Caenorhabditis elegans: one gene and its partner. The protein of the gene in region 2 purifies or fractionates together with the protein of the main gene of each other region. This does not show direct contact. Each region holds a gene or a part of one and is shown on either strand. Other genes may lie near its edges. The genes, in order: W07G4.2 and C03B8.3.

Region 1 (4,170 bases), on a different chromosome or scaffold from region 2:
GGAAACAATGGAGGATGGAATCGAGTTTAGATGACATCGGCTAATTATTATTATTGCAAAACTAATACAATTTTCAAATAAATTATTTTATTACATTGAATTGTTATAACTTCCAACATTATCAAGAAAAACTCAAAAAGCCATTCCATTTTCATTGATTGTCGGCCAGAGCATTGGTCCCATGTTTCTCACATTCATACAGAAGTTATCAGAATGAGTCTGAAAACATTAACTTAGTTTTAAAGTTGAAGATAGTTCAGTTGATAGTACCTTACAAACACCTTCATTTGCGAGAACACTAACACAACGACAATATTCATTATTACATGCTTCCATTGTTGCCTTTTTATATACATAACACCAACCATGGGCGAGGCAACAAGTTCGATGTTGTTCTGAAAATATTGCTCACTTACAAGGGTTCACTCTTGCTGATCACTTACCTAAAATGGCGGGACAGTCCAATTTGATCGAAATCTCCATCCAATTTGTTAGAATTGGATCAATTCCACACATTAATCGACATTTTGCAATTCCAAAAAGTGATACCAAAAGTAGAACGAATTTCATTTTTATGAATACTTTCTAGCTGTTTTCCTTTTTATATTACAAGTTAGTAGAAATTAGGTCAATTTAGTCTACTCTAATGGTCATAACAACTGTCAAGCTTCATATTGTAAACGATTCATTGAAGTGGAAAATGCGGTGAAGTTCTGGGATTTGTAAAGCTAAACTTTCGGATAGAAAAAACTTTTCAAAACTATCTGACACTTTCAACAATCGTTAAATTATCACAAGAAAACTTTAGTGGTGTCCAATTCGGCATAAAATAATCATATGGGCTCAGCTCTCCAATTCTCTGAAATTTTACATGTTATAGTTTCATGTACGGCTATTTACTGACAAAACTGAAATCATTGGTTTCTCTTATATCCATATAGAAAACCTCATTTCCTTTAGAGAAATATCCCATCCACCAGCCAAATGTTGAGTGAGGAGCTGAATCATATGTATACAATTTCAATTTGATATTTAATTCATACCACTTATTAAAACCGTATCACAGTGATCTCTTGAATAAATCAAATCATCGGATGGAGAGTTATGAGATATGAAGTGTCTTGTGTTTGAACCTTGGAGAATCGAATATTTGAAAATGGATTTCATAAACTTGAAATCATCTCCAAATAAGACAATGCGAGATTTTAAATTTTCTAGGGCTTCTAAAAAATGTTTCAGTTGTTTTTTAAATGATTTTTTTCAAAAATTATATACTTTTCTTTTCAATAAACTCAACCGCCCGTCTGACAAAAGTCGGATCCGATGCAGCAAAATCACCCCATACAAAGTCTCCTCTTCGTGTGTGTGCACAAATTCTAATAAGTGTTTAATCTACGATAAAAAGTTGAGCGGAAACTAACATGTAGGAGTTATTTTTTGATCTTGGCAACTTTCCGAATTCACTTTTTACATTTGGCTTCAAATATTTGATTAGTTCATGTTGCATTGAAGGGAAATACTTCCAAGACTAAATTTTAGATTTATAATAGCAATAATGTCATTAGAACCTGATAATAGTATCCAGCTAAATGTAAATACTGATCTTCATTATTTTCAAGAATCGTTGGTTCCACGTAGACACAACATCGTGAATTGAAGTTGATGAATTGTGTTGGTGGTGGAACCTTAACAATTTTCAAATTCAACTATATATTATTTTTAAACAAACCGTTCCATAAACAATTTCAAATTGATCTATCAATCCAGGAATAGCTTCTTTCACTTTGTTCAACATATTCAAATAAGTTTTATCTTCCACAAAGAACAAGGATTTACGATGTAGCTGCCTTGACATTCCCAATAAAGCAGCCATTTCAAAAATGTGATTTCCTGAAACTTATTTCTTTAAATTTTATGATTTTTTTCAAATACCTAATCTCATTCCTGCTGCGAGCCTGCTTGAAAGATATTTCTTGTTTTTATTAGAATTGGTGAAATACTCTGAAGTTCTGAAACATTTGAAAATGTCTACAGTTTTATAGAATAAGGCCAAATTTCTGGGTTAAATAGACAAACACCTATTCGGTAGTACGCTTCCGCCTCATGCCTACTTCAAACCTTCCCACTTTATCTACGCACCAAGCGCTTCCCTGCCCCTCTACATACCTCTTATCTGTCTATGTGCCTACCTCAAGCCTACCTATATTTATGTCTTTTTTTATTGTGTCTTGAAATAATTATCGGTGTTTGGACTTACATTGGTAACGTAGTTCTATTGCAAACATTTGTAGATAGAATTATTACTGTAATTGGAAGTTTGAACTTTTGAATGTTCCTATTACCCTACCAGTTAATATCAGAAAAATTACAAATAACCGAGTTTTGAACATTTTCGTAAGAAGTGAGGGTGTTGGTGGTTGAATTTCGGTCATTTAGTAAAGCTGAAAGAAGAAGAGATGAAACAGGAGTAGTTACAAAATGCATGTTTCGATGTTTCGTAATTGATGTGATCCCTTTCCAATACATCGAATCACAGCATGAGTCCAACATGTATGGGCTGCACATTTTTGTCCCAAAAGAACATCAAGTGTAATTTTGTTTTCAAACATACCTCAAGTCTGCCTACGTACCTTCCCATATTTGCCTACGAGCCTATCTCATGCCTACCTACTTGCCTAAACTTTTGTTAGTGTCAAAAATTACCTTTTGCACCACAGCAACACAGCATGGGTCCGACGATTCAATAGTAAAACCAAGTGTACATTTTTTAAAGTTTTATTTTAACCATCATAATTTTTTTGAAAAGAAAGAACATGAAATGCGAGCAATTTTTGTTTGGAAGCGAAGGAAATGAGAAAAAGAAAGAAAAACATGAATAGAATACGTTAATGGATAGAATCACAGGAAATTGTTTGATGTACTTACAAGGGAAGTCTTTGAGGGGGTCCGTAGATTTGGGGTTCTCATGCTAAAATTCCTACAGAAGAGTGTTAGTTATGATCTCTCCAAAAAATTTAGCTGCCCCGGTCAAGTTTCAGCAAAGTTATGACGTTTTGAAAATTCAGTTAAAAACACCATTGAAATCCACTGTCTTACCATGCAGTCCACGCAAATCTCAGCTTGCGTGACCACCGAAAATGTGACACCCACAACATTGAGTTGAAAAATGTCCTCGGTGGCCGAGTTGGGAGTGCGCGCGTCTGATAAGATTTAAGCTTTGGTTCGATTCCTTCTATTTTTGTAAGTTGAATAAAGTTGTAAAACAACTCATTCAAACATTTTTGCGCATTTTTAAAGTGATTTTATTCTTATTCGGGAACCTAGAATCATTGTCCGCACTTTTTGGAAATTTTTATTTTTTTCATTTTTGCTCAAAATTTCTTGATCAACTCCAAGCAAAAAAATCAAAAAATTTCATTTTTCTAAACAATTATGAAATTGCTATGTTGTTGTTCAGAAATGTATGAAACGTACATTACACAAGTTTTAACTCTCTATTCGCAAGTAAACCGTCGAAATGATCTACATCTCACGAACTTTGTGCAAAATATTTAACCAACTTTGAAGTTGCATAACTTCATTGAGATAAATTATTGTGAAAAATGATCAACTAACAAAATGTTTGTTGAATAACAGTGAACAAAGTTTTAGTTATAAACTTTTTGATACCTCCAGCTACAAAGAAGAAAACAAGGTTGGCATTTGGCTAGTTTTTCTATTAACATTGTGTTTTGGAAAACGGTCACAACTTTTTGGTGGCTGAAGGTATCAAAAAGTTTATAACTAAAACTTTGTTCACTGTTATTCAACAAACATTTTGTTAGTTGATCATTTTTCACAATAATTTATCTCAACGAAGTTATGCAACTTCAAAGTTGGTTAAATATTTTGCACAAAGTTCGTGAGATGTAGATCATTTCGACGGTTTACTTGCGAATAGAGAGTTAAAACTTGTGTAATGTACGTTTCATACATTTCTGAACAACAACATAGCAATTTCATAATTGTTTAGAAAAATGAAATTTTTTGATTTTTTTGCTTGGAGTTGATCAAGAAATTTTGAGCAAAAATGAAAAAAATAAAAATTTCCAAAAAGTGCGGACAATGATTCTAGGTTCCCGAATAAGAATAAAATCACTTTAAAAAGGCGCAAAAATGTTTGAATAGGTT
Region 2 (7,456 bases):
CGAACTATACAATCGAATAAGTTCTACAGTAATGTACAAAATGGCTCGGTGATCATGCCAAGATCACAGTGTGTTATAAAACATAAAGTTACAACAACTGAGTTACAGTAACCCGTTTGTCACCAAAATATTGCACACCATAAGAAAAAATTGAAAATCTGTAGTTTCAAATATGAAAGATGTGTTCTAGTATTATTAGGAAGTGTATGTATGTGTGAAATTCAAAATGATGCCTTGTGCTACTGTAACGCCTACCTAACGAGCTTCCGTAGAGGTTGTGATGGTTTCCATTCATAAAAATCAATAAATACATTATAAGCATGTTATAAAAGTTACTGAAATTTCAGAAAATGATTACTAAATTTCAAAATAAAAGCGTGGGAATTAATATAGACAAAATTACAATAGTCCAATATTTGCAGATAGCATAATAACACGCTCTAAAACATTTTAGATTTTTCAGAATTTCCAGGCAAAGATTTTGTTAAATTTTCAAGTTTTCTAAAATATGTTAATCTGGAGTGTAGCTACTGGTTTGAATTTCTAGAATGTTTTGAAAAATGTTTCGACAAAATGCCAAGAAATCAAGAATTCAAGATTACTAACGGGAGAATTCCAGAGATTAGATGAATTGGCCACGCCCATAGGACCGTGTGGCACTTGCAGATTTTCGAAAAACAAGGCAACAAGTTCGTGATTTTTGAAATAAATATAATTATAGCAAGAAGAGATCAAAACCATTTAATCACCACAAAACAGTTCACAATATTCATCTCCGTTCGTATTAGCCACAGATACTAATAAATCTCCATTATCAGAAGCCCGATTGTCTAAATTGTCATCGATGAAGAATAATGGCAACATTCCAAGTGTTAACCCCATCCATAATCCACTCAACTGAAAAAGAGAATTAAGGGTGTCTTATTTGAAGGCGTGGCAATCTCCGGTTTAAGGGAAGCGTGACGTCACAACCATTTTTCAATGTAGTTCCTCTGGAAACAAATATGTGACGTCACCCGATCGAATAATTAACTTTTCCTTTTTTGCATGACTACTCGATCCATACTCACCTTGGCTCCAAACGCAGCGTATTGATATTCGGGAATATTCATTTGATCTACAGAAAGTACTGGCTTTCTGAAAAAGGTTACTGTAGGTCAACAACTGCAGAAATAATTACTTGAACCCAAGAACATCATTAATTCTGTCAGCAGGCAGTTGGAGGAACAGGTTGCAGATGATGTTGGCAACAGCTGCAGAGGCAAGCATTGACATGCCGTTGTACACCGAGAAGATACTGAAACATTGCTACTCTCTCGGTACGCACACAGCATTAATGAGTGGCCTTTGTGAGAGAAATAAATGTGGCCGCGTGGCGCAATGGATAACCACAGGTAAAGCGTGTCAGGTTAGTGGCAACCTGCCAGCAGGTCGCTGGCTGCTGAATGGAGAACAACTGGCAGGTGAAATCGCGACCCGCTGTCAAGTTGACACTAAGCCGCCGCGGGCCGGCAACAGGTCAACGTCAGGTTTGTGTCAGGTTATTTTAGATTCCGTATTAGGCCCATATATACCGGGAATACTGCTTTTTGTTATTAAATGTTAATACAAAAAGAGAACAATTGCCAAAAATTTTGTTTATTGAACATGAAAAATGAAAAAATAAATCTGAAAAAAGGAAAAAAAAAACATAAATATTATTTAATATTTCGGCTTAGTGTAAACCTCGTCTCGATTCCCGATTCCTTGGATCCATCATTAGCAGCCACTTGGTCGAATTGTTGATTCTGTGATTCTGAGCAGCATCAGATGGGCGGTAACGTAGAAAATGATCATCTATCAGCGACAGTTCGAGGAGTTTGACAGCATTCCGCATTTTTCTATAAAAAATTAACGTTAAAGTTGAGAGAAATCACTAGTTTTTTCCAAACGCTAAAAAATTATGATTTTAAAACTCACTTTGTAAGGTTAATTCTCTTTGCAAAGCATGATCCGAGCCAAGATGGTGTGGGCTTAGCGACGACAAATTCGAACTTTCCAATCAAGAATCAATCCATCAAAATAATGTCGGGTACTCGATTGGTGGGAAGATTTCGTCGTATTTTCTAAATTTTTTAAAATTTACATTACATTGAAATATTTTATTATGAACATACACTGTGATCATCATCGACGTCATTCCAACCAGTTGAAATCGCATTTTATCAATATTGAACATTGGGAGAGCAAGATCCACGAGGACTTCTACTTTCTTTTGAATCTACTTCAAAGCTTCTTCATTTTTTAGTTCCTTTTTACGTTGATTTTCATCAAAATGGAAGGATGAGGTGGTTTAGCGGACGCTTGTGGTCAATGTCGAAGAGGCGACGACTCTGCACGACTCTGAAAACATAAATTGTTATGAATAACTTCATTTTTGAGTTCAACTCTAACCTTTTCTTCCATCTTTAGTTTTTCGCGAAGCAATGTTGTCGCCACCGCCGGTAATTCTCTCATCCAGCTATTTCCGTGCCATCCCAATCGTTCGCGTCAATGTCGAAAATGCTGAAACACCAATAAATATACGGGAAATAATTATTTTTGCCGAAAAATCAAAGAATTGATGAAGAAAACAAAGAAAAAACGAAGAAAAAGAAGAAAAAATCGTGAACAAATAATTTCGAAAATGAGGAGGATTTACGCTAAAGAGGGCGCGCTACCGTTATTTCGGAGTGTCGTTGCCATCTGAGTTTGGAGCTTCTTTTGAAATGCTTTCTCGCTCTTATATTGAATTCGTAGAAAAGAAAAAATCACTTTGAGTCGTAAATGTGATTTGTGATTAAAACCAACAAATAATTGAAAAAAATTGAGTTCAGTAAAATGTAATTAAAAATATTTTCCACTAATTTTAAAATTAATAAGGGTCCCCCCTTATGAAAAAGTTTTGGGAAAATATTTTTCTTCCAAAAAAATTTAATACTGCTGGATTGTGTAGGAAATGTAAATTTTAGAATTTTCCACAGTTTTCATGGATCAATCATACTCCTGGGCAAAAAAAATACAACAGTCGATTTGGCTTGTTCATAGAAAGTCAGTACATCCAAAATGTTCTAGCTCCGCAGGCAGCTGAAATATGAAAAACTTGTCAACTAAAAAGTTGTTAGGAATAACGGGATTGACAAATTACTTATTGTAACTTTTTGCGATCTCGGATGGCTGAGCAGGTAGGAGCACCTAATTATGAATCAAATATTACTATTTTTTGACTTATGATATCTCCGTACTCTGCACAGAAAGCAAGAAACTATGAAACATGAAACATGTTCCATAACAACCTGATCAAGTTTGTAGTTGACAGTTTTTTGATATCTTGCTTGCCCGATGTGGGACATGACTTCGAATGACTGGCATAGTAGGTAGATGAGTTAGAGGAATAGAGGTTTTTACAGTTTCTTAGTTTTCGAAAGCACCACATTTTGCAAGAAAGTACATAGATGCAGTTAGGAAAACATATTTTTACCATATCTGATAAATATTTGACAACTTTTGAAAAAACATTTTTTTTTTGGATTTTCTTGAAAAAAAATCCAAAGGGTCCCCCCTTATGAAAAGTTTTCAAAAAAAAATTTAAAAATTTTTGAAAATTTTAATAATTTCATCAAATGTTATAGAAAAATGTAAAATTAATTGTTTTTTTAGCTTCGATGTTCTGAACACGAGTTCAAACAAAAGCCTGAGGTATTGTAGAACTCCTAAGTTCAAAAAACGCACTCACTTCGGATGCTGATATCTCCGTGTAATAATTTTTTATGACAAAGTGATCAACTACAAAGTTGTTTATCTTAATATAAAGTACAATTTTGCAGTTAATCGTTTTTTATCAAAAAATTTGATGGCCGAGATACAAACAGAAAAAGAAGAAGAAAATACAAGCATGAAGTTGCTGCATTTCACACAACTTTATCTCGACCATGAAATTTTTTGATGAAATATCCTCAACTACAAAATTGTACTTTAGATTAAAATAAACAACTTTGTAGTTGGAGTTCTACAATACCTCAGGTTTTTGTTTGAACTCGTGTTCAGAACATCGAAGCTGAAAAAAACAATTAATTTTACATTTTTCTATAACATCTGATCAAATTATGAAAAGTTTTCAAAAAAAAATTTCGAAAAAATTTTTTAGAAAATTTTCATAAGGGGGGACCTTCGGATTTGGAAGTACTGACTTTCTATGAACACGCCAAATTGACAGTGATATTTTTTTGGTCAGGAGTGTGATTGAGCCATGAAAACTTTGGAAAATACTAAAATAAACATTTCCTACCCAAGCAAAATATTTTTTAACATTCAGTTTTATCCATTCATTATTGGTGTTTCAGTCAAAACTTTGCCTGACAGTAACCTGTCAGTTGGCATTTGCCGGCTCTTAGCCTGCTCCTAACCTGACACTCGCCTGACGCGGTTCATTATTCGGTGCGGTAACCAAAAAACTGTATTTCTGGAAATATTTATTTTCAGACATTTTTTACTTTTCGAAAATTTCCCTAAAACGTAACAGATCGTACTGAAAAATGTTTTTGAGCCAAGAAAACTTTGCCTGACAGTAACCTGCCAGTTACCATTTGCCGGTTCTTAGCCTGCTCTTAACCTGACACTCGCCTGACGCGGTTCATGATCCGGTGCGGTAACCCCGAATCTGTATTTCTGGAAATTATATTTTCAGAAATTTACACGAATGAACATATAACTCATTTTTATGAACTTTCACTCAGTTTCTGAAACTTCCATTTTCACTCGTCTGACCCATCACCTGACACTTACTCGCCGTTCACCTGACGCGCTTTTCTGAAAATTTGAGCGAAAATCACTAAGCTGACACTAACCTGCTCTTAGTCCGACAGCGACTTTTAGCCTGATACTAAGCTGACACTAACCTGCTCTTAGTCCGACAGCGACTTTTAGCCTGATACTAAGCTGACACTAACCTGCTGGCGGCTTTTAACCTGCCATTCAGCTGCCACTAACCTGTCGCGCTTTACCTGTGACGCGTCTGCCTACGGAGCAGAAGATTGCAGGTTCGAATCCTGCCGTGGTCGAAATTTTTTTCTGCGAGCTTACTTGTTGATGCTTTCACCGCCAATGATTAAAAATGCTTCATCGAGACATCCGTAAACGAACATTGGAATGAAATTTATATACCAGACTTTTACTAAATCTTCATGATCAATAGTAACTTCTACCACCTTTTTGTGATCATTATACTGATCGGCGGCTGTAAGATTTTTTTATTTTAAGGTAGCTGCTTAGCAAGAACTCACTGATCTTTCTCAAAGCATCAAATAAAAGTTTCCGTTCTCCCGGTTGGAGCTCCTTGGAAAAAAGCTTTGCATCTGCATCGTTTTGTATTCCATTCGGAAGAACAGAATATTGATTGAAAAATGGGCGGAGCCTAAACTTTCAAATAGGACTTTCAGGAAAGTTACAAGAATTGGGTAAATGATTTAGACTTACTCTTCAGGCCTAACTTTTATCACGTTATTTTTTGCAGCTCTTCTACGTAAGTGACCAACTCCGCGTGAAAAATTGCGAATCTGTTGGTTTGATAACATTTTTGCTATTGATCTGATAAAAGTTAAATTTTTTTAAACTAATTTTTTTAACTCGAGAAATTCTATCGATACTCACCTATCCATACGGTATCTTTGCTAGCCTTGAAACAAGTAGTTGTAAATTGAAAAAAATGAGAAATGAATTATCGTTACGCGTTTTATACTAACTATTTTTACAATTTAACAAAATTGGTTTTTTTCTTTTTTTTCCATCCGAAGTTATCAAAACAAATAAAATCCGTATTTTTCGCGTGAGCGTACATCTTCAGTCGGGTCTCGCCTGGAAAATCATATCCAACTTGCGCGTAAGATAAGGTGTGTTGTACGCACTGCCAATGTGAACCAAGACCAGTTTTGCTGACGCAGTTGTCAGCTGGCGTGTTTTTTTCTCTCTTATTTTCAAATTTTGAACATTTTTTGAGAGCGTCGCGTGCACGTCGCGGTTGAATTAACAATCGCGCTCTAATGAAGACCACCTCCCGATTCGCACCGCATCGTACCAATGGTAGTTTAAAATACAGACTTTGTAGTCCCAAAAATTAATTTTTAAAAAGTATTTTTCCGCATAACTGTACTCATAGTTGAAGCTTCAACAGCTGTAGCAAATGATATCGGTGAAAATAATTTTCGAAATTCATTCTATTTATTTTCGGTAGTGTGTTTTCATAACCCCCGCATGCTTTTTTTCTTAAAATGTTCTAACCTTGCTGTGAAAAAAAAACGCGCGAGGGTTGCGAAATAAGCGTGCGCGAAACCGAATTTTTGGTTCCTCCTTTCCTGTTTCCGTAAATCCTGTGCGTTGCGTGCGCGTTGCGGTTTTCGAATTATGGAAGTGCGCTCTACCGAAATTCGCATTGCTCGACATTTTCCTGTTTCTACAGTTATTTACATTTCCCTTTTCAAATGTTTTCAGTAAATCCAAAAGTTTAGTTTTTTGATTATTGTTCTTCTAATTTTTTCTAAAATTTCAAAATTAAAATTCTTTTAGTAACACTACAAATTAATTTATATTGCAAAGTTCCAGTATTAACTTTTCCTAAGCCCAGTATTAACTTTTCAAATCAATATCGAATCTTAATTCTATCCTAATTTCTCTTCTCAAAGTTATTTATTGACTGATTTTTAAACTTTAATCCTATTTTGGAGTTATTGATTCTGCGTTGCGGTCGCGTCGCGGTCACGCCACCCGTTCCTCACTTTTGTAAATTTTCTGAAGGTATCCCAAACGAGAAATCGTGCACAGCGGCTGCGTCGCGGTTTTTCATTTATTCAGTCTCGTTTCGTGTGTGGCTGGTTATTTACGCGGGCTGCCGCCGCCCACTTTCTCTCTTCCCTGCAGTGGCCTAAAATTGTATTGACCGCCGCGAAGTGTCCGCAATTGTGCGCCGTGGTGAACATTAACACACACGGGACCGGAAAAATGTGTAGTGTGTTTTTGAATATTATTTTGTTTTCTAGAGAAAATAAATATAGTTTAGAGTACAGTAAAATTATCGCTGCAAGACCACACTATAGTTGCAGAGTTCTTGACTGAGCGCTTCTTTAAGTTTTCTTGCTTTTATTTTATTTTTCCTGCTCATTGGGTTCAAATGTGGGCTTGCTCGAATTTCCACTTTAGCTGTTTTCTAATTTCGGAGCTGTATACTGTTCAAATCTATAGAATTTAACAATGTACTTTTTTCAAATGAATAAATCTGAAAAATGTGGCACCTGTAGCGATCACTATGACTGTGATCGTGGCGAGACCCGCTCAGAAAAACAACGTGTGCCTTTAAACTGACGAGTGAAATTTGTTGCGAAATTACGATAATAAAACTGGTTGGTGTGTTTGCACAGTTTTCGAAAGTTCTGCCTAATTTTTGGGG

The links.
Region 1: the proteins of C03B8.3 (region 2) and W07G4.2 fractionate together in Caenorhabditis elegans (co-fractionation; one large-scale study listed by BioGRID). This does not show direct contact.

What each region holds. Positions count from the first base shown.
Region 1 is NC_003283.11:13,034,135-13,038,304, forward strand, and holds W07G4.2 (L-Fucosyltransferase), read right to left. Parts: upstream 2,433-4,170; coding exon 2,348-2,432; intron 2,304-2,347; coding exon 2,258-2,303; intron 2,010-2,257; coding exon 1,933-2,009; intron 1,891-1,932; coding exon 1,730-1,890; intron 1,686-1,729; coding exon 1,569-1,685; intron 1,529-1,568; coding exon 1,422-1,528; intron 1,377-1,421; coding exon 1,276-1,376; intron 1,224-1,275; coding exon 1,044-1,223; intron 1,000-1,043; coding exon 905-999; intron 860-904; coding exon 761-859; downstream 1-760. Other genes in the region: W07G4.1 (FIP (Fungus-Induced Protein) Related), read left to right, coding at 1-30; W07G4.7 (Secretory peptide), read right to left, coding at 133-219, 271-395, 444-570.
Region 2 is NC_003281.10:7,710,586-7,718,041, reverse strand, and holds C03B8.3 (TMEM65 family protein), read right to left. Parts: upstream 5,734-7,456; 5' UTR 5,676-5,733; coding exon 5,668-5,675; intron 5,605-5,667; coding exon 5,494-5,604; intron 5,432-5,493; coding exon 5,301-5,431; intron 5,255-5,300; coding exon 5,101-5,254; intron 5,091-5,100; exon of another isoform or gene 5,027-5,090; intron 2,497-5,026; coding exon of another isoform or gene 2,434-2,496; intron 2,383-2,433; coding exon of another isoform or gene 2,157-2,382; intron 2,106-2,156; coding exon of another isoform or gene 1,960-2,105; intron 1,881-1,959; coding exon of another isoform or gene 1,715-1,880; intron 1,298-1,714; coding exon 1,181-1,297; intron 1,138-1,180; coding exon 1,071-1,137; intron 898-1,070; coding exon 742-897; 3' UTR 728-741; downstream 1-727.